Danio rerio: one gene and its partners. The protein of the gene in region 1 interacts with the protein of each later gene in a pairwise test. Links are inferred from orthologs where the notes say so. Each region holds a gene or a part of one and is shown in the gene's direction. Other genes may lie near its edges.

What was found.
Region 2: the proteins of atosb (region 1) and kif20a interact in binary tests that used the Homo sapiens proteins (3 or more experiments, as listed by UniProt). The two-hybrid records come from large-scale screens. The link is inferred for Danio rerio from reciprocal best matches to the Homo sapiens genes ATOSB and KIF20A.
Region 3: the proteins of atosb (region 1) and cep70 interact in binary tests that used the Homo sapiens proteins (3 or more experiments, as listed by UniProt). The link is inferred for Danio rerio from reciprocal best matches to the Homo sapiens genes ATOSB and CEP70.

Annotation. Positions count from the first base shown.
Region 1 is NC_133180.1:19,785,860-19,796,822, reverse strand, and holds the start of atosb (atos homolog protein B), read left to right. Parts: upstream 1-5,286; 5' UTR 5,287-5,625; intron 5,626-10,963. Other genes in the region: uncharacterized protein unc13ba, read right to left, coding at 1,860-1,881. UniProt on the Homo sapiens protein: Transcription regulator that may syncronize transcriptional and translational programs.
Region 2 is NC_133196.1:38,628,501-38,639,447, reverse strand, and holds the start of kif20a (kinesin-like protein KIF20A), read left to right. Parts: upstream 1-4,296; 5' UTR 4,297-4,464; intron 4,465-4,804; 5' UTR 4,805-4,814; coding exon of another isoform or gene 4,815-4,988; intron 4,989-9,169; coding exon of another isoform or gene 9,170-9,292; intron 9,293-9,389; coding exon of another isoform or gene 9,390-9,509; 5' UTR 9,510-9,667; intron 9,668-10,947. UniProt on the Homo sapiens protein: Mitotic kinesin required for chromosome passenger complex (CPC)-mediated cytokinesis. Following phosphorylation by PLK1, involved in recruitment of PLK1 to the central spindle. Interacts with guanosine triphosphate (GTP)-bound forms of RAB6A and RAB6B.
Region 3 is NC_133197.1:12,312,082-12,323,257, reverse strand, and holds the start of cep70 (centrosomal protein of 70 kDa), read left to right. Parts: upstream 1-5,095; 5' UTR 5,096-5,200; intron 5,201-6,489; 5' UTR 6,490-6,503; coding exon of another isoform or gene 6,504-6,512; 5' UTR 6,513-6,708; coding exon 6,709-6,777; intron 6,778-6,877; coding exon 6,878-6,977; intron 6,978-7,259; coding exon 7,260-7,383; intron 7,384-8,895; exon of another isoform or gene 8,896-9,109; coding exon 9,110-9,290; intron 9,291-11,176.

The DNA of each region.
Region 1 (10,963 bases):
TGCATTGTGTTGATATTATATTGTCATTCTGGCATTATATAATGAGAGCATAAAATGGCCTTAAAATGACAATAATATTGTTTAGCACATTTTGGTGCAATATATCGCACAACAAAAAAAAATAGATATTGTGACAGGCCTAATATTAGTAGCATAAACAATGTGTTGGAGAAATGTGATAAAAGGGAATGCAATGTTTTTACAGATGAATTGCCCTTTAGGTGCCCTTAAATTGCTACATTAAAGTCTGCGTAAACTCGAAATTTACAATGTACACAATGACATGTAATATTAAACAAAAAGCATAATATATAACAACTTTACTACTAGGGATGCTCTGATCAAGATTTTTGCAGCCGATACAGTGTACCAATTCCTTGTCAATGTGATCGGAAGATACCAAGTACCGATTGTGATGCTTCAAGCTTTATAATGTATAAAGTGCATTTTCCCTCAAAGTATGATAAGTAAGTGAAGATATCACTTTACCTAAGAGAATAAATTAAAGATGTTGCATGAAATTCCTTAAACAAATCTCTTAATAACTATTTAGTGTGGACATGTCACGGCCAGAAGCAGCTTTACAGAAAATAATAGATTAAACAGATTCAAGAAAATGGTATCAAAAATGAGTGACAAAGCAATTTGGAAACATTGCAAATGATGGAAGTTTGGAGCACATATTTTATACATAAAAAGTTAAAACGCACATCTATCATCTCATTACTTCTTTACTAATAGAAAATATTTCTATACTGTTTATTACAATAAGTTATATTATTAAATATTCAAGTTAAAAATCATTTTTATGTTTTTTTTTATATTTCTCTTATATTTCCAGCAAGGTTTTAATGAACTTGCAATACTGTTGAAAGCACAGAACAATCAGTTCTGATGTGTAAACTAATCATAAACAAACAATTGTGATCGGTTCATAAGATTGGCCAGATTAGCAAGTACGGATCGAGTCATGAAATGTGATTATCGGCCGATCACGATGTCTGGCCGATCAATCGGAGCATCACTATTTACTACTTGTGTGAAACAGGAAGTGCCATATCAATCTTGCAACCACTCCAAAGTTTTTTGGAAACAAAAACGATACTAAAAAGCAAAATCCAACTAATTTCCACCAACAAGTATATATTATTTTTCACTGAATGGCAAAAGTTAGTTCTACTCTAATTCTGTAATTTACAAAATGACTGACTGAACATGGACTGGATCTTCTGTCAACAACAGATATGGAATAGCAGGCCCTATTAAGAGATTATTCATTCATTCATTTTCCTTTGGCTTAGTCTCTTTATTCATTAGGGGTCGCCACAGAGGAATGAGCCGCCAACTTTAGGAGTTTCATTTAGCCTACAAATTACAGTCCAGTCGACATAGCTTTTCGCAACAAATATCTTATTTTAGAGCTCACAGTTTAAAGTAGAAACACCCACAATCATGTCATATCCTGCAGGAAACTGAATAATCCTTTGGGAATGCTTGATGTCATACAAAATCAAAGCGTACAGTGGGACAATCAGACAGGTGATCACAGCATATGCGGTGCCTTAACAGCGGGGAAAACCCGTTAAGCGCATTAACAGAAGATGAGTCGCCTCAGATCCACAGTAACACACATACGAGTCAGTGATACATTTAGGTGTTCATCGAAAGTTACACCCGTTCTTGTGTATAGAACAGGTGTATGTAATTATTATAGCTTACACCTGTTACTGTTACCTGTTGCTCCAACCGCTTTCATACAATTAAAATTACAGCACATTTTAAACCAGAAGCACGTAAACACAGACAAACGGGAAGACAATGTTATAAAAAGTAAATATTTCAAGGTCCCAAATACTTACCTCGCACACAAAGAAGAGACATTGCTGAGATTTTAGTCCACACTGTACATTTATGACTTTATCACCTCTTCTGGCACTTTATTTCCTCCCCGTTCGAAAGGATATTTTAAGTTGCGAACAAATATCGTAGTTTGTTGAATTCATCATCATAATAGACTAGAGTTAAATAGCGACTGTGTTCGCAACGCGCCAGGAGAACTGTGTTCTGCGTCCCCATGGCGTTAGTGACATAAGCAGGAGCCAATCAACTTCATCAAAAGGAGAGAGTGGGCGGGACTACAAGATGATGCGACGGATAACGTTTTTTATCCGCACAGGTGTGTAATGCCCTCTTTAACCTGCATATTTGACAACATCTGCATCATCATATTCATTTAAAACAAACAAATCCTGCTATTTTTGTAGATATGTATGCCTATAATTATTTGCAACATATTAAATATTAATATTTAACGTGTGTTTTAGGCTATTTTTGAAGGAAAAAAATGGCTGACTGGTAATGTTTAATTTCTGATTTAAATGCTGCACCTTTATTATACTAAACTTAACAGTCTCAGTCTGTGTGTGCAGCCTGTTGAACTGACGAAAGGATTTATGTCTGATGTTTCTGTAGTGCCATTGCGCCATCTCGCGTTTAACACATGCTACTTCGTAATAAACATTTTAAAAATATTTACATTCACATTTGTTTCCAAGTAGCCGTGAAACTAAGCACTCTGTTAACTTGATTTGAATAAATGCTTTTACCCGAGCAACACCTAAATACCTGTGCAAGGATCTGGTTAGAAGGACGAAACAAGCAAAAACAATAAAGAAATAAATGAATCAATAAATACGCAAAAATATGAATAAATGAGTAAATAAATCCATAATTTCATGCATGAATAAAACAATAAATAAATACGCAAATATATAAATAAACAAGTAAATAAATCTATAAATTCCTGCATAAATAAAAAAAGAAATATGCAAAGAAATGAATAAATGATATCGAAAATCCACAACTTCCTACTTAAATAAATATATAACACGAATGATGGGGGAATAAGTAAATGCTAAACTGAAAGGTTGTTTTTTTTCCCCATTGAAACCATTATTCATGTAGTTGCTTGTTTACTTTTCCTCAGGTCAACATGCTAATGAGAGGCAGTCTGTCTTTCTTTTTTTTCTTCTTCTTTTTCTTCTTCTTATTATTGTTATTATTATTATTATTACTACTACTTGTTGTTGTTGGTGGTGGTGGTGGTGGTATGCGAAAGGTGAAAAGATACAAATCACAGTACATTATAAAGAAAGTTAAAATAATTTGAAAAAAAAAGAAAACCAAAAAACAGAAGAGACATTACACATTAAAGAAAAAGATTATATAATTTACAAATGTCAGTTGTTTTTAAAGCCTTTCTTTGTAAAAGAGTTAGAAATAGTTTCAAAGTAATACTGCATTTCAGAAAGAAATGCTATTTAAAAAAGGTTTTTGGTTTATAAATTTACATTTATGCATATAAAATTTTGTTAATAAGATAAGAAGAATAGGGAAATAGGTTTTCTTTTTATGTAAAGGCTTTGTCTTGTAATTAACAAAACCAAACAAAACCTTTTCACAAAAAGACAAATCTTTCCAAAGCAAATAAGAATAACTGCATTGCAAAAATAGGTGAACTATTAGGACTCAGGCTGTCTGTCAATTATCAGAAAGTGGTCTTTATGCCATCATCAGTTGATTTTTAGAAAAACTTTCCATTTGATTTTATTCACTGGCTTCTGGTGATTGACAGACAGCCTCTTATTAGCATGTTGACCCAAGAAAAGTAAACATGCAACTACGTGAATAATGGTTTAAAATGAGGGGAAAAAAATAAACTTTTAGTTTAGCATTTTCTTATTCCCCAACATTCCTGAAATGTATTTATTTATTTGCTGCCAGCACTAATAACGATTTATGTATTTATTTATTCAGGAATTGATGTATTTATTTACTCATTTATTTATATATTTGCGTATTTAAATAACAACAACAACAACAACAACAACAACAATAATAATAATGATTATTATTATTATTATTATTATTATTATTATTATTATTATTATTATTATTATTATTATAGGGGAAAAGTAAATATCTGACTTTCTATTATATCATTCTCTGACCTGCTTCTAACATGCTGGTTTGCTGCTTGTTGTTGGTGCTCAGTTAATAATAATAACAAAATAATGATAATATTTATTTATGCAGGAACTTGTGGGTTTTATATGCATTTATTTATTGATTTATTAATTTGCATATTTATTTATTTATTGTTTTATTTTTGCAGGAATTTATGCATTTATTTACTCATTTATTTATATTTTTTCTTATTTATCTATTTATTGCTTTTGCAGGTTTCGTCCTCCACAATTCAGGATAAAATGTTTTTATAAAAATATTATTTGGATTCAAATTCTTTATATGTATTTTCAGTTATATTTAAAGAATTGTATTTATATGGCTTATAATATATTTCACAGATTTAAATAATAATAATAATAATAATAATAATAATAATAATAATAATAATAATAATAATAATATATATTATTGTATATATTATATTATATTCTTTGCTCCTGAACTGCTTCTAACATTTTCTGCTTGTTGTTAGTGCTCAGTTGATAATGATAAATAAATAATGATGAATTTGTTTGTTTTTGCGACTTAAAGTTTAAAATATATATATATATATATACATATATACACATATATACACATATATACACACACACACACACACACACACACACACACATATATATATATATATATATATATATATATATATATATATATATATATATATATATATATATATATATATATATATATATATATATATATAGCACTAGGTCAGTTATGCATCACGAGAATGGGTTACATTTTAAAACAAAATAATTTTTTGTGTTGTTTCACATGTTTCACTGTATTTTAAGCGCAAATAATGCCTTGCTAAGATTTAAACACTAATAAAAAAATTTAAAATAGTAATTTATTCCGGACTGTAATCACTGTCCTTAAAAGGGTTATTATTTACTTGTTTAAATTGGTCTACATCATCAAGTATTACTAAACATTATATTTATATTACCAGTCCGTCGATCTATAAACCCTATTTTTGTCCTGTACGTTTCTCCACCAGCGGAGTAAAAGGAACAAATAGCACGTGTACATGGGCGTGGCTTGAAAAGTCGTTGCGTTTCACGGAACCAATAGGAGTCTCTTTCGCCGTAATATATTACTGTTATTCAAATATATTCAAATATAGCCTAAATAGGCAATTGTTATTGGTTCTTGATAGGGAAAGCGACCAATCGCTTAAATGACAGCCCTTCAGCTGTTCGAACGTTCCGCCCCCTAGTTATTTTTCAGCAAATCCCGGAAGTATTGTTTTTAAAGGGACAGAATAATTTCATGGGCGACGGCTTTGGACCAAGAGCTAAGCAAAAAATAGCAAAGGCCCGTTGGCAGAGGTGCTTATAGGACGTGGAAAGGAGAAGAAAGCCAATCAAAATAGCTTTGTCAGCATTTGGAAAGCGGGATCTTGTATCCTCATCGGCCAGATAAACCTTCGTCACACTGGGATTTCAACGCAGACAGTTTGACGTCGATTACGCTGAAGATCTCCAGATCCTGTCTAAAATAGGATCAAACTCTTCCTCCAGAGATGATGGCAATGTTAGTTTGCTGACTGCTGCAGCCGTTGTCATTGTCATCGTTGTATGTTTGCTGTGGGTGAGTTCTCTTTGTGCTGCCATTCTCCTTTAGATCACTCTCATTTCACCATTTATTTATAGATCAGTCTCATTTCACCTTGTGCGTAGGATCTGAGATGAATCCGTAATATTTGAATCACCTCAGCAACCTCACTAATCAATCCCGTGTATATATGCTGCTTTATTAATCTGAACTCTAATATAAACCTCAGATTAAAGGATGAGATGATCCCTAGTCTGATCAAAAGGATCCCTGGGTCTTTTCCATCTATTGTACTTGAAATGCTCTCACGTGTGTTTGATAATGGCAGATTAATCACAGTCTGCACACACAATGCATACAGGCTGCTGTATGTTCATGCGCAGGGGGGCGTTTCTGCTTTGTCTGATTCATGCTATTTCATCCACTGAAGGCAACTTTCATCAGTGCATAAGCATGCATTTCTCACTTCAGTGCTTGCTATGTCTTTTACTTTGGGTTCTTTTGTTCCTTTTTGATTTATTACATTCTTTGTGCTTGAGATGTGCATGATTACGTTACATCCCTGGCCATGGGCCGTTATGAATCATTCCTGCATGGCTTGGTGGTGTAGTTTATTTTAAAATGTTGCCTTGTGCTTCATCTAAACATTGCAGGCAAATCCTGCTGTCCTTGTAGCCTAATTAGCATCAGTAATGCCAGCATTTTATGGAGAGACAAGCAGGCTATGGAGTTTTTACAGTGGGTGGGTGGGTTTGCACACACAGGTTGCAGAATATGTAAGAGGCATCCATCCTGCTCATTACTGATGCCAGACAGGACGTCAATGGAAAGCACAATGGAGCTCTGCAGAGCCATAACCATTGTCCACAAAAAAAAAAAAAAAGAGCAGATCAGCAGTGACCCATAGTGAGATCTTTCAGGCTCAAATGTCCCAAAAGAGCTGCAGGTAGAATGTGCCCTTTCAGTTTGAATTCTGAATATTAAGAGGTCTTTAATGCCCTTGATGTGCGCGACCTCCTTCTGTGTGGCCTTCAGCAGAAGTATGTATTACATCACTGGGTTAGAGGAGGAAATGTTGCAGCATATCCGAAGATGAGCATGTCAAGCTGGTGCAGGAAGCAAATGCATGTTAGATGGTTATTGGGTGTGAGGAGGCTTAGTATGCAGCGTTAAGGCCTAAAGTAACTCCCTTTCTGCAAGCGATATGTGTAAATGTTGAATGAGGGGTTTCAGTTCAACATTGCGAAATGCGACGGGCTGCTTTTATCTTGATGAGAATGAGGGAGGTAACAGTTTATATCAGCACTCGCTGTAAAAAATGCTGGGTTCCACACAATACCTTCATGTTGCCCCGACACAAATCGATTAGGTTAACTTAATTATTTGTACAAATTTAAGTGGAACGAACATAAAACAATTACGCTGCCCCAAAAAAACTTTAAGAATTGTGTTAAATCAACTCATTTTAAATTAGTGGTTTGAAAGCAGCAAGCGTAATGTTTTAAATGCTGTTGGGCTAGTGTTTCTTGAGTTTTTATTTGTATTTGGGGGGCTTTTTGAATCGGATCTTTGTTCTCCCCTTTAGATCACTCTCGTTTCACCATTTATTGATAGATCTGTCTCATTTCACCATGTTTAAGATCAGAGATGAATCTGTCATTTTTAAATCACCTCAGCAACCTCACCAATCAATCACGTGTATTTCGGCTACCTTATTAATCTGAACTCTATAAACCTCAGATTAAAGGACAACACAAATCGATTAGGTTATCTTAATTATTTGTACAATTTTAAGTGCATTGAACATATAACAATTAAGTTGTCCCTAAAAACCTTTAAGAATTGTGTTGATTCGGCTCATTTTAAATAAGCAGTTTGAAAAAGCCGCAAACATCGTTTTTTTTAGTGCTGTTGGGCTAGGGTTTCTTGAGATTTTATTTGTATTTTTGGGGCTGTTTTGAATCAGATCTTTGTTCCTGTTAAAAAGTTAAAATATATTTGATATAGGCAAGCATTGCTTTTATTAATCAGAATAATCACAGTTGAATTTCTTTAGCAAGTCAACTGTGTTTAGAAGTGGCTAAATGCTTTAAATGAGTCTATAATGTGAACATCACACACTTTGAGGATGTAATAGTCCTGATAAGATTGCCTTTTTAAAGTTGTTGACAAAGTGGTTTTGTTTCCAGGGTTACCATTAAAGACAACACACACATGCAACTATTCAACCAATCAGATCACAAATTTGAAACCACTGAAACGTTTGTGGGTATGACGACTGAGATAAAGATTAGAAACTACCTAGCAACCACATAACAACATTGTTTTTATTGGTAACTTAAAATATGTACTTGCTTCCAAGGCCATTTATAGCAAAGTTCATATTTAGCTGCACCATATTTGGTGTTTCGTAACATCTGTTTTTTTTTTTTTTTTTTTTTTTTTTTTTTTTTTTTAATAATGAGGTGGGATGTTAGCCCAATGCTCAACCCAGGACTAAGACATACACACATACACTACAGACAATTTAGCTTACCCAATTCACCTACAGCACATGTCTGTGGACTGTGAGGGAAACCGGAGCACCCGGAGGAAACCCGCATGAACATGGGGAGAACGTGAACATAGGAATGCTAACTGACCTAGCCGGGGATCGAACCAGCGACCTTCTTGCTGTGAGGCGACGGCTCTACCCACTGCGCCACCGTGTTGCTTATTAACTAAAAATTAAAAACAAAACAAGTAGTTGAAATAAAATGCAAACATTAGATAACTTCTACCACTTAAACCAAGTGTTGACGTGTTGCCTTGGCAAGAAGCTGAAATCATAACATTGACATTTAAGCTTAAACAGAGAAAGCTATATATATAAATTTAAAAATGATTAATGAAATAAAAATCTAGAACTTAAAAAAAAAAAAAGTTATTTAAATGTTATAAAGGTATGCAAATCATACTAATTGAACAACATCAGGCCCGCATTGGCTAATCGGGAGGACCAGGAGTATTCCCGGTGGGCCGGTCCATTTTTTTGGCCACTAGGGCCAGTGTCTCCTGTTGCCTGCACTCTGAACAGTCATACTTTTTTCATTTATTTATTTTTTTGACCATAGCCTCAATCTTTTTAATCATTATTTTACCGCAGCTCACCTCTTTTTATTTATTTTCTCGCAGCCCCATGAGCAGAATGCAGCCTGCAAGCTAATGATGTCCAATAAAGAAATCTATGATGTCCGTTTCTTGTCAGATGTTGACTTTTAATCTTCACTCAGAGATACATAAACAAATTAAAATAAACAGATGCAGTTCTTAAAGAGCCTGTACACAATTTTAACATGCTACATATCCTCAATGCTAAATGCACAGAAAATCCATCTGAATAACACAAATATTCTAAGTTCTCAAATGCAAACAGTTCAAAAAAAATATTCAAAACTGAAATGCATTATATAACATTAGTTATTAAATGCAAACAAATAGGCTCCTACAACATATATTCAGATATTGCAGAAAAGGGCATAGTGATGTTTTAAAGAATAGTGTTGGAGATTTACCTACCCTTTAATTTTCTCATATTTATGACAAATATTTGAAGTTATAAAGCAGCTGTTTCCTTAAAAAAGACATGATAGTATCAATAGAAAATTCAATACATTTGGTTTTAATCTTTATTTTATACATGTAGTTTAATTCATATTTGTATTTATTTTATATTTTTTCATTACAAGGATATTAATGAGCACTAAGTCTTACAGAAAATAGATTCTGATACTGTTAAACATTACATTGTGTTAAATGTTCAAATAAATGTTTACTGTGAAGTACAGAATTGAAAATGACATTTTTTTTAAATATAGTCAGCCGTGAACTGAAGTGGGCCGATCTAAGGCTTGAAACTCCAGGGCTGAAAAGGAGTCCTACTCAGATTCTGAACAGCATTGCACTAAAACCCCCCAGAACACCTTTAGTAAACCTGACAATTTGTATAACCTTAGTCAGTAGTACTTTATTCTCTCTATTTGTATCTCTGTGTGCACATTTGGTTTGCTTTCACCTCTGCAGAAATGCTGTGCACCTTGACGTCTTTAAATAACCATGAAGATTCCATGGATTGTTATCCATTCTACTAAAACCCACTCCACCGGTCGCCTGCCTGGACCTTTCTCTAAGATCAATTAGAGGTTTAGATAAGGATTTCAATAATAGAAACCTGTCCCAGATCATTATCAGAGGTAATAGTGTGTGCTTGTGCAGGCATGTGTTTGTACATGAGTGAGTGTGCACACATGTGATTGAAGCAAACCAGCTCCTAACCTGCCTAAGCTGTTTATCATTTATTTAAATACAGCTTGCCTCTTAAACCAGAAGAGTTAACATGGTAGCCAATGGATGAAGCTCTGGTGTATTACTAAATGAAATGTATATAATACATAGCTGTACATTTGTTTTGTTTTTTTATTAACAAACTAGATTTAACTAAACTGAAGTATTAAAGGGATAGTTCACCCAAAAACAAAAAATGTACTCTCAATTTACTCGCCCTCAAGTGTTTTTAAAACCTTAATGAGTTTCTTTCTTCTGTTAAACACAAAAGAAGATATTTGGACAAATGTTAGAAACCGGTAACCATTGACTTCCCTTGTAGGAAAACAAATACCATGGTAGTCAGTGGTTACAGGTTTCTAACGTCTTTCAAAATGACTTCTTTTGTGTTCAACAGAAGAAACAAACAGTTTTTTTTACAAGTAAATGATAAGTAACATGGCAAGAAGGTCGCTGGTTCGAGCCCCAGCTGGTTTAGTTGGCATTTCTGTGTGGAGTTTGCATGTTCTTCCTGTGTTTCCGTTTGTTTCCTCCAGGTACTCCGGTTTCCTCCACAGTCCATAGACATGTGCTGGAGGTAAATTGGGTAAGCTAAATTGTCCATAGTGTAGGGGAGAGTGGTGCACAAAGTAACTCGGGGTAAAATGTTTCACAGAGTTTTAGGGTATTTGCTCATATTTGACCATGGCATGCTTCCGAGGTTTTAACCACAGTGTCGGCAGATGTCTTACTGACAATTATTAAAAAAGTTCAGCGAAATTTGGATGAGAAACACAGGAGAAACAATTTTTGGAGCATAAAAGTATTTTTTTTTGTTATAGTCATTATTATTTTTATTTTTTTAAGTCTGTGAAAGTATGCAAGTAAAGTCTTATATTGTTGTGACTACCATCTTCTAGGCTAAAAGATGGAACAATTTTAAAAGATGTAAAAAACACAGTGACTGCTAGCTAGTTTTGAGGACAACAGAACACAGCAGGGTTAGTTGTAACAGGGTGTTACAATTAAGCCAAACACTGTTGGACACCAACTAAATGAGCAAAAAATATAT
Region 2 (10,947 bases), on another chromosome or scaffold:
AAAAACAAATCAATTGCTTCTCAGCTTTAAACACTCCAGCTTTGTTTTGGTTTTATTCGTTGGTGGTCTGTTTAAGAAAGCTGGTCCTGTTTAATATTAAAAATAACCTGTTTAATTTGTATTTTCAGAGTTATTACACCCCCCCCCCCCCCCCCTCCACCTGTTAATTTTTCCCCAATTTCTGTTTTACTGATAGAATTTTTTTCATAATTCTAATTTCTCTAATAAATTATTTATTTTATCTTTGCCATGATGACAGTAAATAATATTTAACTAGATATTTTTCAAACACTTCTATATAGCCTAAAGTGACAAGGCGTAATTAGGTTAACTAAGCAGGTTAAGGTAATTAGGCAAGTTATTGTATAACGATGTTTTGTTCTGTAGAAAATCGAAAAAAAAAATAGCTTAAAGGGGCTAATAATTAAAAAAATTAAAACTTAAAAAAATTCAAAACTGCTTTTATTCTAGTGGAAATAAAACAAATAAGACTTTCTCCAGAAGAAAAAATATTATCAGACATGCTGTGAAAATTTCCTTGCTCTGTTAAACTTCATTTGGGCAATATTTTAAAAAAGAAAAAAACTTCAAAGGTATTTTAGTAACCACAGTTTTACTACAAATACCATGGTAAAAAATTATGGTTAAGTGAACCATATGCGATTTGCAAAACCTAGTTAATTTGTGGTTAACATAAGTGGTCAGGCTACGATAGTTTTGCAAATCTAATCCTATTTTAACCATGGTAATTGTAGTAAAACTGTGGTTATACAAATATAAGCCAATGCACCAAAAGTGTTACTATCAAAACAAAATGTATGGCTACTTTTTGTAAGGATTTTTACTTTTTTTTTTAGATATTCACATTATTGCAGCACTGTGTTTTCTATATGAATCTAAACATAGTAACTTCTCACACCATCTGCTCACTGTGTTGTAATTATACACCACCATGACAGTGACTATTGTCGAGACTAAGTTTAGCCGAGGACAGAATATCTCACTCACCAGACTGATCCAACCCAAGACAAACGATCTGGGAAAGAGAAATAAAATATAACATCTAAATATTATTACAGTTACAGTTAGTGCATCTTATTGTAGTTTCAAAGCCTAACAATGAACATTTTTGAGATTAGATGTTTAGTGCAGCAAACTCACCTGTTGTGTCTCGCTTCAGTATAACTTTAAAGACTACATCCACAGCAATAACTCCAAAACTCTCATTTCTTTATACTTTTCCTTTTCTTTCAAAGTGATTGTGTTCTCTCTGACACAGTGGCGTTTCTTTGCTTCTCAGGAGCCTGTTTGACTTCTAATACTCTCTCCTTTTATGGAGCCCCCAAGACACCAATCAGACTTGGGACTCGAGTCATGCACATGTCCCACACATTTGTCTCTTTGTCCAATAGATTCTTTGTCCATGTTATATACAGTAGAATAATTAGAACTGATTCAACTTAATAAAACTTATTTTAAACAAAAATGTAAAGATAGTAATAAGTTTTGACTTGTCTGTATCTTCTGTTAACATTCACTTGTATGCCAAACAATAAACAAAATCTTATCAATTAAGTGAATTTCAAGTTCATTCATTCATTTATTTTCCTTCTGTTTTGTCCCTTTATTCATCAGAGGTCGCCACAGTGGAATGAACCGCTGAATTCCAGGTTTACATTATTTATTTTTAGCCTACATAACTAAATAACTGCTGAATAAATTGCACACACAGATTTAGTAATTAAGCACCCAGTTTTTTTCTTGTTGTTTCTTTTTTTTTACCTTCTAAAGAAAAGTCAGAGAAAAGCAATGACGAAATGTCTTAGATTAAACGCATAAATGTAAAAGCCATTTGAAATTAGGTATTTCATTATTTGTACACAATACTGTAGTTCACATTAATAACAGTAGGTCAATTTCCATTACCATGTAAAAGTACACAGTTTTTCTGGAGTTTGAAACCACTAGAGTTAAACAGTTTTTGAATCCATTAATCTGAAATATTTTAGCTTAGCTTAGCTTAGCATAAATCATTAAATCAGATTATTACATTATAGCATCTCAAAAATGGTTGGGAACCACAGCTAGGGTTCTTGGAGATGCTATTCTGCTTTGTTTTAGAGCAAAAACAGTCAACATTTAGATGAAATTTTAGCAAATTGTAATGTCACATTTGTAATTATTGCTCGAAAACAACAATTTAAAATAAACAGGTATGCAACACTTAAACTTTGGAGCATTAAATGCCCTTGTGCAGCACGTCATAACAGGCATTTCTTTTTAGCAAACTGCTAACTGACATATTGTATATCTGCTTTTTGAATTTATGTGTTGTTGCTCAAAATATAGGCCTGTCTTATACTGGTTCTGTTTATAGTCTAATCAACTCTTACATACAAGCTAATGTGCTGAGTCACTTGTGTTAAATAACAGAGACATGCCAAAAAATTCCACAGCTTAGGGTCCCAGGTTCAAGATGATAACACAGAAAAAAACACAGAAATTTTCATTATATGTCAGCCAAACCAGAAGAAAATATTTGAAGAGTAGACTACTCTTAATGTATTGACTTTTTTTAAACAATAAAAGGATTTGCCATTCCATGGACAATTTTTTTTTTTTATTAAATACCTTTATTATATAAAATAATAATAATGAACTTTTTATCTTAAAAAGTTTTATTTTTTTAAATATAGACATACAAGATGAGTGTTTTCTTATTTTTCTTTGATTTGTAGGAAAACATTTATTTTACAATTTACAATGGCTTAAAGAGAAACTAATTTGTGCTGTTTATACGAAACCATAGATATTTACATTAGATGTTGCCTTCCCCGTTGTTGTGTATTTGAAGGAAGGCGTCAATAAAGCTGCCGTTTTAGTACAGGGTAGCGCTCCTTTGAAATGAAGCATTGTTATATTTCTTTTTCATTGTTTGCTTATTGGGCAACGTGGTGGAGCAGTGGGTACGTTCGCCTTATAGCAAAAAAAGTTGCTGGTTCAAGCCTCGGCTGGGTCAGTTGGTATTTCTGTGTGGAGTTTGCATGTTCTCCCCATGTTTGCGAGGGTTTCCTCTGGGTGCTCTTCTTCAGTGTTGCCAACTTAGCAATTTTGTTTAGATTTAGCAACTTTTCATAATAGCATTTTTTTTTTTCAAAAAGCACCTATTAACAAATTTAGCAATTTTTAACATTCATTTGGCTACTTTGTGACTCAAAAAAGCAGTGGCTGCAGGCTTCACTTAGTAGAGTAAATTGCTCAGATTATTTTTCGTAACTGTTCATTTATTGATATTTGTTAACATTTATAATTGTTGGTAATTTAGGAAGCAATACATTTGAGTAGTGCTATAATTGTTGTCACTTTCACAAATTTGTTAATTTCACAAGTTAAAAAGAGTAAGTACACAAGCTGTGATTGTTTAAAAGAACGTAACTGTTCATTATCAGTGTTATTAAAAATACTAAATTCTTATCCAAAAAGTGTAAAACCTGGGTTTGTAATACTTTTACAAACAGTCAACTTTTTTTTTTCATACAAATCTATATGAACATATTTCAAATAATGTTTTTGCTGAGATGGCCAGTCAATTTGAGCAAAACATTAATTATTTTATACTACATAAAGATGTAGTTTTGAGTTGCGATTTCGCAATGACCTCATCACGCAAAGTTATATGTTAATAGAACTTATTTATTGTGCATCTGGATCTAATCTTTTAACATAATATAATACACAGCACCAGAGAGAGTATAGGCATGACGGGCTCAAGCTTGTCAGAAACTATGTGATGACATAAATGATATGCAAATTAGTGCTTGAAGTCATCTGGCAACATTTAGCTACTTTTCAGGCAGGCTTTAGCTACTTTTCATTGAAAATAGTTGGCAACACTGCTCCGGTGTGGCGGCGCATTTGACGCATGCTCAGGGTCCGTATGCGATACATTTTGCATATGTCTATAATACAAAAAATTTCGAGAAATGCTCATGGATTTTTGCCATAAATGTGAAACGAGTGGTATTACTCAATGATATGAAAAAGTTTAAAATGTAGATTGTAATTGCCCCGTTTGTTTGCATCAGGAGTAACGTAATAAACCATATGAAAAGGGTTTAAACATAATTTGGGAATATAAATTTACTGAAAAACGCATTCGCATACTGTCAACGCCTTTAGGGCGTGGAAGCGACAAGCACGTTGACCAATCCAAAGTAGCAGAACCATAGTGGTGCGCGTTGATTGGTGGAGCTCACGGGCGGCTGAGTTCGAATTTGTTGTTGTTGGATTTCCGTTAGTGAGCTATGCAGGTGGACAGATGAGTTTGCTTTAGTTACAGTACTCTGAACAAGTTAGATGTTCTAATAATTTAGACACGTATTTAGTTTAGCTGTCGGAGTCATTTGCTCAACTTTTAACTCACATTTGGATTTTTTTCCCTCCGGAAGCACATCGTAAATCAAGGTACGAATATTGGATATATCAATCTTTTCAAATGTGTAACAGTTACTGCATGCTAACTGCTAGCGTCCATGGCAAACAACTATATAAAGATCAGTCTTTTCCGTCTAACTTTAAGTGCTGTTTCTTGCATATTATATGATTTTAATTCTATAAATAATGTTGCATTAACAAACAACAAAATAGCGAGTTTGAACTGATGATCAGATTTCTGGCTCACTTAACGTTAACGTTAACCGATAGATTTACGATATGAGTAACGTTAATTTTCATATACAGAGGTCCAGACTATAAATAATTGTAATTTTCTTTTAAATGTAGAACTGTCTATATTAATTTCTAGGTCTGTTATAATGGCTCTGGCGTCTCCATGCGGGATTCTGTCTGATGAGGAAGAGTGTGGGGCTGTGTTTGAGTCCACAGCGGCTGATGTTGTTGGTCTTATGAGGTCTCAACGGTTTGTGTCTCCTCTGCCAGAGATCTCAGTCATTACCCCTGCTGCAGATTCCCTAACGCCTACTAAAGAGGTATGATAGCCATTAGAAGACGTGTGTTATGTCAAATAGTCTTCACATTTGAAACCACGGGTCGGGCATAGGTGTCGACTGATTTAATTCATCACATGACATGACACATCACGTGGCAAGCCATTTGAACAATAATTTTTTTAACTTAACGTTACTAAATAATATGCGTTTTTAATGCTATTAATATTTCATTTTTTTGTTTGCTGGCATTGGTTGTATTATGTATTAGCACTTACTCCAGATGTGACAAGATACAACTTTTGTTACAGGAAACAAGATTTCAGTTAATGTTACTGAATCGTGTTTAGTGATTAGATTTATATTTTGCCTTGCAGTCTATTATAGTTGCCAATTGAAGGATTTATGTATAAGAAATGTTTGACATGTTAGTAAGCTATACAGTAATGATTGAGTTTGTTTGACTTAAACATCCGTATTATAGTAAAAAAAAAAGAGTATCACTTAGTGTATCACTAGTGTTTATCGAATATTTGCTAAATAATATATACTTTTTAATTTGTTACAAACAAGTACTTACCATATTATGACCAGACAGAATCTGCAAGCATTTTTGCTAATTTAGTGTAAAACTTTGCACAATATATGCTATTTTATTCTGAATGATTTTGAGAGTATAGTAACTAAATGCATGAAAAAAATTAACTTCTAAATAACGTTTACAGTGCAAATTTAATTAGAACCACATGTTTGGTAAAGTAAATCTCGTGTATACACTAAAAGAGAGAAATTATAAAATATAAAAACTGAGAACATATATATTTACATATCCACACAAGTAAATAAATAGATCTGCAGATTTCTGCACATGCATACTCTGTGTGGGCCTAATAATGCCAATAATAATAAAATTATTTATTTTACTCTTGAAGTAAGTACTAGAATGAAACGAAAATGTATAGGAGACTAGCATCATTAGTTATTATAGGAGCAGGTACTCGTAAAATAAAGCCTATTCAAAATATTTTAATAATTTCATAAACCACTGTGTACTATTGTCTTGTGAAATTATTTATTATTTATATGTGGTTTGCATTCGGGGATTCATGATTTCATACCAATTTATTAAAATCAATATATCTTTCTATTTATTTGATAGAAAACAAAGTGCTGCCTAAAAGAGGTTTAATAAAATATAATTTTGGGAGATCTAGTATAATAGTAGTAGCACAGTTTCTTCAAACCAGTGTAAGTTTAGTTTTGGTAGATACCTTTATGGTACCTTTATGATAAGATCATTAAATGAGTTGATGACTTAGGCTCTCAAGGCAGCTATTTTTTTGTCCAAGTGTAATGTTACACGTAAGGGATCAATCGCTTGTCTTGTGTTAAAGGACTTTAAATGCATTACATTGAGGCAAAAAAATAACACCCAGCACAAAGTGCATTTAAAATCCTTTACTGCATGGAATGCCATTGGTTATCTCACTATTTCCAAGGTTCATTTGCCAAAGTTTGCCAAGGCAAGTTAAAACTAGTAATGTTCTTGGCAGCACAATATTTGACAGAATTTTCATCATTTATGACACGTTAAATGTCTCCGTTTTGAAGCAGTCATGGGCAGGGTCAAAGAAAGTGATCATCTTTTTGCATGTAATTGAGCTCATAGTAACATGTTAGCTACCTTTTCTCAAAATTTGAGCATATTTAAATGTTTGTTGATCCCCACTGGCTCCCTGGTGAAGCACATACTGGTGTCCTTGATATTACACAAAGGCTTTGGCAACTGTCACTGAGTTACTATGGTTATAACTAGGCATAGGACGATAACCGTTTTCAAGGTATACCATGGTTTGTAATAGTCAAAACCACCAAATTTTTCTGTAATACGGTTCCTAAGGTATGTGTATGTTTTTTTTTTTTTTTTTTTTAGAACAACAGTATCTCCAGCACAAAAAATATACAAAGATGCCGTTTTAAATTCTAAGGAAATCATTTTTTATTTATTTATTTTTACTAATGAAAACAACAGAAGTCAATGATACATTTGACTTATTTAGCCTGACATGTTTACTGCTCCAAAATATTAGAAATGTTTCTCAAAATAAAACATATTGTGTTCAATGGGAAAAAGTTTTAGTTTTTTTACTCAGACATTTAAAAATAATATATTTTAGAGCAGTGAGCACTCTATTGTGAAACTGTTATACTTTTATCCAAGGTTATCATACCGTCATAATCTTCTACCGGCCCATGCCTAGTTATAACTAATGTTTAAGGATAGCGATGAGTTGCTAATGTGGCAATAAACAAAGGCTGCATCCAAAATCGCATACTTCCATGCTATATTGTAGGACTGCATGATATTGGAAAAATCTAGCATTGTGATATTTTGTTATTCTGCTTTATTTATTTATTTTATTTTCGGCTGAATCCCTTTATTAATTCGGGGTCGCCACAGCGGAATAAACCGCCAACTTATCCAGCACTTTTTTTACGCAGGGGATGCCCTTCCAGCCACAACCCATCTCTGAAAAGCATCCACACACACGCATTCACACTCATACACTATGGACTATTTAGCCTACCCAATTCACCTTCACTGCATGTCTTTAGACTGTGGGGGAAACCGGAGCACCCGGAGGAAACCCACGCGAAAGCAGGGAGAACATGCAAACTCCACACAGAAACGCAAACTGACCCAGCCGAGGCTCGAACCAGCGACTTTCTTGCTGTAAGGCGACAGCACTACCTACTGCGCCACTGCGTCGCTTATTCTGTTATATATATTGTGATTTACAAAATTTTGCCAGGTGACTTTCCTAGCTCTATTTAGAAAGAATTTAGCATTTTAGATTGATTGGAATTGTTATGTAGAAGAGGGTATCTGCCAAAAATCTAATAAACAAATCAAAAGTATAGCTAAAAACGATAAAAAAATTGTTACAATTGAAACAATGTTTTATCGTTTTCTGCATCTAACGATATACAGGTACAATATATTAATAATAAAAATGTATTAATTCAATAAATTATGTAATTATTATTGCTACAAAGGGCTCAAAAACATATGCAAATGATAAATTATAATACAGCATTGCAAATCCCATTATGTGACCATTGCGAATGATCACATTGCGATATCGATGCTGAAACGATACATCGTGCAATCCTTCTATATAGTATGTTAAAAACACTGAGAGCCAAGTAGTATGTTAGAATTTATAGTATAAGAAAAACAATATGTGAGAATTATCCAGATGACCTACTGCTACCGGTGAGATTCTGAAGTGTACTTTTGATGGATGCTATGCTATCCTTTTATGCCATGTTAAAGAATTCAAGAATAAAAGTGAAGCAATGCAAGGGAAGGGTAGGTCATGTGATCGTGACAAATTGGTGAATGACCGAATTCCATTAATACCATTCTTATTCATACTATATAGAACAGGGATCACCAAACTTGTTCCTGCAGATTTTAGCTCCAACCCTAATCAAACACACCTGAACAAGCTAATCATGGTCTTACTAGGTATACTTGAAACATCCAGGCAGGTGTGTTGAGGCAAGTTGGACATAAACCCTGCAGGGCACAGTCCTCTAGGAACAAGATTGGTGACCCCTGAATTAGAACATACTTTCTAAAAGTCGTGTAGTAAATTTAAATGTAGTTCATACTCGATTAGTAGGTGACTTTAAATGCAGCCAAACACAAACTAACGTTTGTTATTGCACTCCTTTCAGCCAATCAGAATCAAGATTTTCAACAGACCATTTTATAAATAAGCAAAATTGAATGGTTGTGGTCAAATTAATTGTGTAGTAAATTCAAATACAGCACATACTAGAGTTGTAGGTAATTTCGGACTCATCCAAACTCAAACTAATGTTTGTTATTGCACTCCTTTTAGCCAATCGGAATCAAGATTTTCAAAAGTCCATGCAATAAATAGTTTAATAAATGATGTTTTAATGCTAAATCTGCTTGCCATACATATCCGGGGTTATGAATACTGTTTGTTTAGCCAACTCTTGTCTCAAATTGTTACACTGCCAGAAGGAGATCCCTCCCTCAATAATTCTTTTCATTGAGGACAGCAGTAAGTGATGTGTTCTGTTCAACACAAACAGCTCGTTTAATGGCTATTCCTTCACCTCAGGCTTTGTTTGGATTCGGTGTGAGTGCTCTAATATTAATGGATCTTTTATCTTTTGACAAACAGCTTGTGCAGATCAAAAGCGATATCAGCAGAAGAGGCAGCACTGATGATGGATCAGATAAACTTAAGGTTTTTCTACGGATCCGTCCTCTAACCGAGGCAGAGAAGGACAGGGGAGAAGAGCAGGTAAAGAAATGTGTCACTTATGTGAAACTATTTTTCTAGGTAACGGAAGGATCTGGCTTAACAATGAATTGGTTATTGTTTTGTTTGTGCTCTCCAGGGTTGTGTTAATGTGCAGTCTGAGGACAATCTGCTTCTCAAAGCACCTAAAGACTCCCGCAACATGAAGAGTGCTGAGAGAGGGGTCGCTCAAAGTGTGCACAAATTTACATTTACAAAGGTAAGGGACACAAACAAATATAGACAGTTCATGGAATATTTGGAAAATCATGGAGTTTTAAAGTTTATTCCAGGGACCTGTACCATGAAACTGGATATAAGTGGGTTGCCAGTTTTCGTTTAGTTGACACCAATCTTGAGTTTTAAGTTAACATGAAAGCAGATCGATTTTAATCACTCTTTGTTACTGTGGTATTATGGAGCAGCTGAGCTACCTTTATTTTCACGTAAAATCCAAAATATGTGCAAACTAAACTGAAACATAAGTTATAACTGGCTAGCTAGCGAATCTGGCTTTGTTGTACAGGTTCCTGTAGGGCTGGATGATAAATCGATTTTATCTCGAGTGTGAAATTTACATCAATTTGTTTGAATAAAATCTGTTATCATTCTCGCTCAGTACACTATACTAATCTACCAGATGTGACCTGACACCAATAAAAGCAATGAAAAATGCAACCTAATGTGAGTAATTTAAATTAACACTAAATAATTTCTCGGAGATGGGTTGCGGCTGGAAGGGCATCCGCTGCATAAAAACGTGCTGGATAAGTTGGTGGTTCATACCGCTTTGGCGACCCAGGATTAATAAAGGGACTACGCAGAAAAGAAAACAAATGAATGAACACTTAATAAAAAAAAATGAATAAACCTCGGAATGCATGTGCATTGAGAAAAAAAAGCAAAAACAAATAAAATACATAATCTTGAAAAAGGTCCCCTTTTTAACAATTATTATGAGTTCACTTTCACTGTAAATGTATAAAATGGTTTAATTGATGTTATTATAAAAGTCCTACATGCAATTATAAATAGATCTTGTTAAATTTGATCTTTAAATGACAGCTTTTTTCTTTAGCTTTTTTTCCTGTAATTAATTTTATTTATAATTATATAGGTTATTAACCTTCAACCTCAAGCAGTTTTTGTGGGTGGAAAAAATCTGTTAATTGTTGTAAATCTTTTATTTGTTTATTTATTTATTTTTTAAAGGCCATATAAAGGCCCCGTCCTAGGCCTCAGACATCAATTTTAATTTTGTTTAGTCAAGTCTTAGGATATCAAAGTCTTTTGTTTGTAATTTTTTTAATTTCAGTTTCTTATTTATTTATTTTTTAAAATTTTGAATGTGATTGTAAATTTTCTAAACAGTTTTTTTTTCTCATTTGTCTCACTTTGAAAACTGTATTATTGCTATTGCTAGTCTATTTTTTGTGCCATTTATCTCTTTCCAATCTGTCAAATGGCAGTCATTTAAGTCAAATGTAGTCACCAAACTACCTGTTAACAAGTCAAATGTGTCAGGAAATTCAGTAGTTTTTGCTACAGAGTAACCACTTCAAAGACTGAATGTTGGGTTTTGTACTCTTGTTTCTTTTTAAAATGTAGGGTAAATTATCCACTGTTGCTCTCATAGTGGCTATTAAATTCATAAAACA
Region 3 (11,176 bases), on another chromosome or scaffold:
CCCACCGTAAAGTCAGACCGAAACTACGTCATATCATTAATATTGTTAAAGATTTTAAAAAGAATGATTTTTTATTATTTTTATAATTTATTATGATTACAAAGTTGGGTGACGGGGTGGCGCAGTGGGTAGCGCTCTCGACTCAAGGCAAAAAGGTCGCTGTTCGAGCCTCGGCTGGGTCAGTTGGCATTTCTGTGTGGAGTTTGCATGTTCTCCGAGTGTTTGAGTGGGTTTGCTCAAGATGCTCTGGTTTTCCCCACAGTCTAAACACGTGCATTTTAGGTGAATTAGGTAAGCTAAATTGTCTGCTGTTGTAAATGAGAATGGGTTGCAGCTGGAAGGGCATCCGCTGTGTAAAATATGCTGGATAGATTGGCGGTTCATTCCGCTGTGGCGACCCCTGATTAATAAAGGAACTAAGCCAAAAAAAATATTAATGAATAATTATAAAGTTTTATAACTATTCAAGATTTTTTAAATCAAACTTTGATGCATCACTCACTTTTGTTCACATCTTGGACAGTTCTACCTATTAAAGTTAAATATCAATGACAACAGAACATGGGTTACATTACAATTATAGTTTTTTATTCTTTCAAGAATAATAGAAAAAAATAATTAAAACTTTTAATTATTTTGCCCCCTCAACATTTGACACATTGTCTGGCTAGTTTCTGTCCTCTACTTATGAGCTGAAAAGGCAATAATGGTCCAACAATCCTGTCCATCATCATCATCATTAAAGCCTAGAAATTGGGCATCAGTATACTGTAAGCCGATAGGTTCATATTTTCTTTTCCAGTTATCAAAGACATCATTTGTTACTTAATTTTTGTTACATTGTTTTAACTTTAAAAAATATATATCAGTGTAAAACCTATAAATGGTGGAAAAACATTTTCTGTAATATTAAAACCATCTGGGTCTCCACTTTTGCCATGGCTTCTTTTTTGTTGTAACAAACTTATTCCCCAGGTTTTTCCAAACTTTTTATCAAAACATGTCCTTTGGCTTTTGCAATTTCTAGCCAAGAATTATTGGTCATCTAGGTATTTCTATGGTGCTCACGCATGGTCGGATCGTTAAGATGTATGTACAGTCGTACTGTTACAGACAAAATCTCTTCATTGTTTCATATTCAACTCAAATCAAACGCGGCGCCGCGCGAACTGTTCACCCGAAATCATGTCGTGTGCATCCAAAGTGAATCTCTGCAAACACGGCGATGACGTCACATTCGCCGCGCGCGCTGAGCTATTACATGCTGGTCTTATTTATAGTTGTAATACAGCAAATTACAATATGACTAGTGAAATAAAGAACTACACCGCTACGAAACCAAGCAACAACAAAAAATTATTTAAATGAGCATTAGGAGTAGCGTTACATGTACATCGGAAAAATAAGACCTGTGCAAACATATTTAAGACATAGAACAGCAAATTTAAAACTTTTTAAGGCCTACAATTAAGATGTTTATATTTTAGACCTTTTAAGACCCCCCCGGGAACCCTGTGTAAGCCAGATGGCACAGCAGAGGGCAGGTTTCATCCAATTATTTTATGCGCATTTTGGATATGCACATACAAAAGGTTGATGGAAACGCTGTAATGCGCACATTTTTTGAAAATGTGTGTGAATGGACAAACCATCAGGCTAAGCACATTGTAAAACATGTTGTTTTGGTCATTCAAAACCGTCTCAACCATTTCAGTATTATGTTATTAATGACCTCCAGAATTGTCAAGAGTGTCTGCACTCCGTGTCTCGCTCCTTCAAACACCAGCGCGCGTTCACTGCGGGTCAGGATTGCCTTCTGAGGCGCAAGTCATTTATTAAATTAAGATATATTCCCGCAGCTGCTCCTACCGATGCAAAGTTTTTACTTTTGATATTTGTCGCCAGTTAATCAGAAAGTGGCGATTTTGTTCTCTTCGACTTGTTGGACAGAAACGCTGCTTTATTTGCAGTCTTTTATGCGATATTCTAGTTTTGGGCATACATTTAATTAGCATATTTAGATGATAACAGCTATCCACTCTGCATCAGCACAGCTGTCCCCTTTCTTCCCCATGTACCTCTAGGTGAACAGCTCCTCCGGGTGTGGCCATGGGCATTCATCCTCTGCTATTTCTTCCTCATTTCTTCTGTCTTAAATCTCCATATGACAATCGATAACTTTATGACTGTTTGATGACGGTCAGCTCACGTAAATCTGCAGTAGCCTGAACTTGTTTTTCGGTTCAAATAATGTACCAGGCTTTTCATTGGTCCGTTAAGATGAGCTTTTTTTATTGGCTACCGAAATGCTAGTAAGTGCGTGGTTGAAATATTAATTTATTTACAGTACTCTGTAACGAATTGTGATTTTGAAAGTAACGAAGTAGATTACTCAGCTTAATTTGTACTCAAGTACAAGTAAAATTACAGGCTTAAAATTTTACTCATGAAAGTACAATTACCCCAAAAATGTACTTAATTACAGTAACGTGAGTAGTTGTAATTCGTTACTCCCACCACTGCACAACTGATATTAACAGTTGGAGTTTTGCTGTAACCTCACTTATCAGTCATTATGCAGTTCTTTGAGTGTTGCACCCAGACATACTTCCTCTTTTCTGCAACCCTTCTCTGCATACCAGAACTGAACAGTTAGGTGTATCTTTAATATATTTCACAACTTCTACAAGCATCCAGCTCCTTGTGACATGTCTAGACTTCTTATTAGACAGCAGTCTGGAACAAGCAAATTATCAGGTCATGTCACATTTTTTAAAGGTGGTAACGTTAAGGCTAACTGAGGCTTTTGACTATATTTTAGTTACCAAGGTAATTTTGACATTATACAAGACACAGCCTATTTCATTACCTCAGAAAAGTTCATTTTCGCCTACCAACCTACGTCACGAAAGACGTCACATGGGTTCCCGGTTGCAAAAGCAAACATGTCGTGTTGTGCGGTAGGATGCCAAATTCGAAAAATAAAAAAACTTAGCTTTTACCATACACCACACTGCTTTAATGCCAACCGCAGATGTTTTTGGCTTAAAGGGAGTTGAATGAAGTGAGGACCTAATTAAAAATGCTGGACTCTGCAGTTCCCATTTCATATCAGGTAAGTTCACGCTATGCTGAATCATACACATTACTCGTTTTTGATTGCGGAAATGATTTCAGGAAAAACAGTTACATATGGTGAATTAAACTGCTGACACTGAATGCTAAGAATGAAATGTAAGAATGTAAGTTCACATACCCTGCCTTACAGATACTGTTCGCCGTCAGAATGCAGTTGTTTTACTTTTTGATGATTACCCAGGCCTAGCACAGTTTCGTCTTCTTTCCTTGTCGTTGGCTAGGCAGAACTTCGGTTTTTAGCTCTACATAGTATTGAATCTGGTCATCGTGGAGCATTATTTCTTGCATATGACCACACAGAACAGAATTGTTGGCATCCAAAGACTTGTAGACCTTTAACTTCTCTTTTGTAAAATCTATTTGAGTTTCAATGAGATTGTATATTTGGGGCTGGATGCTTGGCCATTTCGTCTTATCCAATATCCATTGGGAGGGTGCTATCGCAAATAGAGCTGTCAGAAGAACGCTGCTCAATTTAACGTTAATTTTGCTTAATAACTGCGCTTATTACTGGGTGACAAGCTGTTTTAATACTGTAATTTCTATTATATATATATATATATATATATATATATCTAAGACATATATATTATATGTATCTCTAATACAACAACATTATATATTATATATATATCTCTAATACAACAACAAACTCTGTTTGATTTAAATGTTAACGCTGTGGATTTTTTATTTTCTGCAACCTCCTGCGCGTGCATCCTGAATGTTTACAAACATGGTAATTCATCTATAGCAGTGGTTCCCAAACTTTTTTCACCAAGTACCACCTCATAAATGTTTTTCCTCTCCAAGTACCAACATAATGACCAGTATTAAAATATAGTTGTGTTGTGGGCCTAATTAAGCAGCTACAGCTGTGCACAGTTAAAAAACGAGGCAGATTATTTCCTATTATTATGAATATGTATAATTGTCAGCCAATTTAAACATTATAAATAGTGTGAACATTAACTGTGCTTGCAGGTTAAAAAAAAAAAAAAAAAAAAAAGTTTTACTTAAATCTAAAGTATTAACATAGTAGCCTATTCATCAAAACATGGAAATTGTTGCTTGGACCTCATAAATATAGGCTATATGTCATTGTCACATTCATACACTTATGAAATATATGTTGCAAGTACATATGACAGGGTTCATACAGGCGCTTAATGAAAATCAAGGACTTTTAAGCACTTTTTCCAGCACCTATTTTTATTTTCAAGACTGACACGCAACATATTGAAACATTGGTCCAGTAATTTTCCTATATAATATAATAGTAATTATATATTTACCTATATTGGTGATAAAACCTGCTTGGAAGTTCTGTTGATGTTTTCTCACCATTTGCTCATATACAGCTTCTGGAAACCTGGGTGAGGAAAACTGGCTTTACAGACACAAACTGTTTAAACAAAAAGATTCCCAAAAGTTCTGTCTCTCTCTCTCTTTCTCTATTTGCAGACGGTGCTGAGATTTGCATGCTGACCTTCATACGGAGAGCTGCCCTTTACACAGCATGCAGCAAAAAGAGCAACACAAAATGCCACAGAATCCGTAAATTTTGAAGAGCAGTATCTGTGAAGTGAGATTAGAGGCTTAGTAAATGCTGTCTGTTCAAAATGACTAACCTGAAAGGATGTTTTGAAAGATTGTGGAACATATCTGCTGAAGTCTTGTTTGCCAGTTATGTACATTTTAATATGTAATTACATTTAGTTGCACTAAAAATGCCAACTGTTCATAATAAATATTTTACAATGTATTTACATAATAAGAGTCTGGTAGGGAGCCCATATTCAAAAGTTAATTCTTTGCATCCATCTGGTGGACATTTGTTGTAACACCACTTTTTCTTAAGAGGGAAACGTCAGTACAGTGGCGCAAACTACGTTGTAGGCGTGGCTAGCTCATTCAGTTCTCCCATTGGTCTAAATCCAGGAAGCACTTCGTCGGTGTCAGTTTCCGCTGTTATTTGAATCAATAAACACACTCGAGTTTTCTTGTTTATAAAACGATAAATTGAAGATTTAATTGCTACAATTTAGCTCGTCTGTGGTTTAAGGTATGATTTAGAATAATACTGCTCAAAACACTTAACGTAAACGAAATGTATTAGCCGCGTTTGTAGACCTTATTTTTCATGTAGCGTTTTCAGTGTTTGTATGTTGTATCTACCGTGTGCTGTCACGTTTTAGCCCCTTTTATTAATGTTTCGCTAACTTTGTGGCCCCTAAAATTATATTAACTTCTAAGAATGTTATACTAGGGTTTTTATCTTGGTGAACATGGTAGTATTGTGAGTTATAGATCGAGTTATAAGCCAAAGATTGTGTACACGTTTTACAACTTAGCCCATGTTTTCACTCAGAAAATGCGTGTAAATCTCGCAAAATAGCAAGTTATATTAAACATGAAACGTCGACGTAGATCTATAGAGTTATACAGTAAACAAAGATTGTGTACGTATGTTTTACAACGTTGCCCTGTTTTATGTTTTCATTCAGAAAATGCACGTAAACCTCACAAAATAGCAAGTGTTACATTCAATTACAGATGAATCGTCAAAGTAGATATATTCACATAGTTTTTCTTATTGTAAAATCTTAAACAACATACAAAACTCCTACCAAAAAAGGTATTTGATGGTATAAGCACGCAATACCTTGCTCGGAAGTCACAAACATTACATAAATAGTATGCTACCTAACTAAAGTATTCTTGCTAGCAAATTTCAGTTCACTTCAAATGCATTTTTTATTTCTGTTTTACAAAAATCTCCATTTAAAAATAAAAATCTGCCAATGACATGTCATTTTATTAAGTTCAATTCAAGTGACCTTTATTTGAATAGCACTTTTACAATGTGGATTGTGTCAAAACAGCTTCACATAAAAGATCATAGCAAATTGAAATGGTGTATTTCAGTTTTCAAAGTTTAAGTTCAGTTCAGTTTAGCTCAGATCAGTGTTTTAATAATCACTACTTAGTCCAAACACTGAAGAGCAATCCATCGATGCGCAGGTCTACAGATCCCAAACCATGCAAGCTAGTGGCGTCAGCGGCGAGGAAAAAAAACTGCACCAATTGGCGAAAGTGGAAAAAAAAAAAAAAAAAAAAAAACATTAATTCGGTTCAATTCAAGTTTATCTGTGTATCGCTTTTCACAATAATTATTGTTTCAGTTATAATATATTACTACATTACAGTTTAAATTAGGACAGTTATGATATAGGTTGGACAGTATATAAACATTGTTAAATTGGATTTATACAGTATATAGTGTCCTTTTAAAATGGTAAAGTGCAATTTCAATAAAGTGCAAACTCAGCATCTATGTGTTTTCTCTTACAGGGCTTCTGATCGGGATGGAGCAGGTGAGCCCTTTTGTCTTTCCAGCGTGTGGAGGTGTTTCTTATTGTTCTTTGGGATAGTAATCTGATCTGGGTCTGTTCCCTCCATCTGCTGTGGGTGGACAGACCCTGATCAAGTCAGACAAAAAGTAGAAGATACAAGTAGATGCTTAAAATAGTGCAATAGCTCATCATTCATTTGTGATTTTCACTGACGAGCATGGATAGACAAGCTTTGCAATCCAGGGACAAAACATATGTGTTTTTGTGGACCTACAGCCAGTTTCAGGTAGCACAAAAGTGGAGATTCTGATAGTTTTACAGTTGTTTCTCCATGCATTAGTTTATTATTGTTGTTAATGCACGCTGCATATGTCATGCTTTTGCAGGAAGAACAGAGAGAATGGGACGCTGTAAACAGGTTGCTGCAGCATCACGGGTTTAAACCTGTCAGCTTTGCAGATCCAAAGGAAAACAAGAACCTTGCAGGTTATCTCATTTTAATAATTTGTTGCTGCAACTATGAAAAAAATGTAATTATTGGATTATTAAAGTTTGAAGTTAAATTATGGGATTAAATTTATTAACACATTTCTAATATGATTTTAGTCCTAATTTTTGCGTTTATTTTTTATATTTATTTTATTTTTTTAACTGTTCGCAAATATTATATCTTTCAAGTATACAATAAGAATTATAGTAGTTTAGATATTAGTCATTGACAATAACTGAAAAAAAGAACTAATGGTGATACTTGTTTTGTGTTTGTAGAGTTGGTTTTGTTGGAGCGAAAGTCTGCCTCTGATGTCCGCTTGATGTTGAAGACGATGCTATCGGATTCTGAAAGGAGACAAGGTTTAATTCAAGAGCTCATTCAGTCCAACAGCCAGTTAAAGTGAGTCTAGCTTTCATTATTAGTGTAACATGCCTTTAGTGTTGCTTAGAGGCCAAATATGTTTTAAAAGTTAAATAAATTCGAAATAATTTTATAATTATTTGTAATAAATATAGTTTTTTTAAGAAAAAAAAATTCAAATATCAGTATATGTGTGTGTGTGTGTATTTACTACTTGTATACAAATATCTTATTTTTGTCACCAAAATAGAATGTTTTACAGAATGATTTATAACATTTTAGATTATGACAAATCAATATTTCCTTTAGTTCTTGTTACTATATTACTGTAATACAAAAGTGAAAGTCACATTATTTTGTTATAATATTACTGTTTTTATTGTATTGATAAATATAATTGTCAATAAATCTGACAATTATATTTTCGTTATTGTCTAAATGAAGGTGTGTGTGTGTGTGTGTGTGTGTGTGTGTGTGTGTGTGTGTGTGTGTGTGTGTGTGTGTGTGTTTGTGTACACACAAACAATAAATTAAAAAATAGTTGATGCATAATTACATAATGTAATTTTTGTAAATGTAAAAGTTGACTTAATGATTAATGAAAAACAATAAAGTTTTTATCCATTAGGGTTAAATATTTTAACATTTGAAATCTAAAAAGTTAAATTATTTTGTACACTATGATTGTATGTGTATTACTATGTTTTATTTAGCAAAGACATATATTTGGAAACATGATGCATTGTTACTATTATGAAAAAAATGCAAAAACAAATGCTAAAAATTGTTTATAATTTTATTTTAGTGTTAATATAAAAATGGATAATGTTCTAAAAACATTTATTATTAAATTGTAATAATGACATTTTTGGATGAAAGTTGGCTTTAATTGTCACCTTGAAATGTTTATTTTAGCTCAAAAATTTCAGATTACTTATTAAAAAAAAAACTTAATGGTGTGAGAACCATCATAATTCAAATGTTTATTGTCTTACCTTATTTTATTATATATTTTTTATTAAACAATGTATGGACATATATAATTCTACTTATAGTACTATAATTTAATACATATAGTTACATTATAGTGAGACATTGTGAAATATAGAACAAACATAGTGGAAGCCAGGAGGATAAAGCAGTAAAGAAAAAATAAATAAAAAGTACAATATTAAAGAAATAATACTAAAATATAACAAAAAACATAAGATATCTATCCTTCCATTCATCCATATGCGTGTGTGTATATAGATAAATAAGTGTAAATAATTCATACCTTTAAAAGCGGTTTATTATTGGAGAGTTTGCATTTATGGATGTAATATGTAGCAAGTAAAAGTAAAAGATTGATCAAATAGATGGCTTTCTCATTATTATTGTCTGTATCAATAAAACCAAATAACACATTCTCCCAAATTTAATGTCTTTCTCTGCATTGTGACCTGTAGGCTGAGTGTTACTTATGCATGTTTTATGTTTGTTGGAATTTCATCATAAATAATCAAATGGCTCTTGAATATTTGAGTTGTTCAGCACTTGTCATTCCTCTAGGGACACTCCTGGACACGCTGCTCCTGTCAAACACATGCTCAATAATGCAAGTGTCAGTAGTGCCGACCACCTGCTGTAAGGTGATATAATGCAGGATGAGTGGAGGGATATGAGATCATCTGACAGCACAGACCAGCTCCTGCTCATTCCACAACACAGCAGAAAGACAAGTGCAAAAAACAGTACTCTAAAATGTATGTTTGTTTATTTCCAGAGAGGAAGTGCAGCAGCATCAGACGCGAGCCGCCCGTCAGTCTCAGAGGGCCGCTGAACTGGAGAACATCCTGGACGGGGTCAAGGTCAAAGTTCAAGACCTGGAGGACTCGTATATTAGTAAAGCGGCCCAACAGCACCAACAGTTCCAGCAGCTGCAGCAGGAGAAGAGAGATGCTGAGGTATATCTGCATTCAATCTGATGTGTCGAGCTTGTAGACATGGCTTGTGTCACTAAAAATGAGGATAATGAGGCTTTTTTATATATTTTATTTGTTATTATTTTGATCATTTTTGGTCTCATTCTTAAAACAAAAAGCTCAAAGTTAAATGGCATGACTTGTAAATAGTCTTGTAAATAAACATCCACTGTAATGATTGGCTCATGTCATTGCATAGAGAAAAGGAAAATAATCACCTCCTCACTATTCCACGTAAGAGTTTTAAAAATAGGATGTACCACATCAAAAAAATCTCCCAAAATCATATCTTGACTTTTTTTTTTACAATAGTAATAATTAAACAATATTTCCTAAGTGGGTTTTTGTACTGCTCTTGGATGATTTTGTTCTGTCATGGATAAAATCTGTAGTGGAGATCTTCGCGGGACTAAGTTTTGAATCCCGCTCCTGTCAGGTTTTAGCTCGAACCCGACCGCTCCCGCTTATATTCAGCATTTGTTGTCCCGCTGCCCGACCCACCGCGTTTTCTACCCGCCACGCATGTCTGTACAAACACACACACACACACACACATAAGCACCAAGCAAGTGACACACACAGACAGCATTACGCCCTCTCTCATTCACACACACACACACACACACAGACAGCACAAAGCTCTCTCTCATTCGCACACACATAGACAGCAACAATCAAGCTAAACACAGCATCACGCTGTCTCATTCACACATATACATATACGTGCTGGCTTGCTCGGGAGTCGGAAGCGATATTATTAGACCGCTCGCTCCCGTCCAAAGTTACACCTGTTACCGACCGCTCCCTCGCTTTATTTGGAAATTTATTCCCGCGCCACAAGAAATCTGGTCGGGTCCCGCGGCTGTATGCAGACCTCAAATCTATAGCACTAAAACCACAAGTAGGTGGCAGCAGGTTTCAATTTTAATGACTGAATCAATTCATTTAAAACTGCTGATTCATTTGGAAATCAATCAAACTGTTTTCATGAATGGGTGATTGGCTCATTGACTGATATAATTAGTTAAAATATGGATTATTTTAGGAGTTAAACACAGGGTTCCCAGTCTTACGCTTCTTGAAAGTATTTGAATTCAGACATATGGATTCAAGCCTGGAAAGTACCAACACAGGTCTTTAAAGTGCTTGATTTACATTTGAGATTTGTGGTTATTTCCACAATTGTCATGCTGCTGTCAAAAACAGAATAAAAAACTTAATGAAAATCTTGTACAAAAGCTGTGATAAATAATACACATTTAATAAATAATTCACAAACTGAATTTGAATATTTCCAGTTTTGAATTCAACAACTTTTATTAAAGTAAAATGTTTTTGAAAATGACCCCTTAAAAAATCATCACGCTGACATTTTTAATGTGAGTATTACAGTTTTTCTGTCGCTTTGGTGCTTTTGGTGCAAAAATTATTTACATTTGCACAACAGTAAATGTATTTCTCAAATGAGTACAATTTGTACAAACTGCAAAACCTAGTTGATAACCTGCAAAAGCACGTCACTTGCTTAACATGCATAGTTCATTCCTCAAAAGCAAGTATTCATGTCAATCAAAGTGTCAGAGTCATCAAGATAAAAAGTCCCGACAACATTGTTTATGAACAAGATAGTCAATTGGCTTTGTCATGTTTTCATCGTTGAAAGTTTACTCCACTGCAAAAAAAGTCAGATTTGGGTGACACATCCTAAAAATGCTCAAGACAGCACTATATACTACTTGCTCAGTCATTTGAAAACTACAGTAAAGTTCGACATCACTGCATTTAGTTAGGTATCTGAGTACAAGACACTGAATATGTATGTTTCACATTTTTACTGCATTTGCTCTTTGCAATTGTAATTTGTTCAC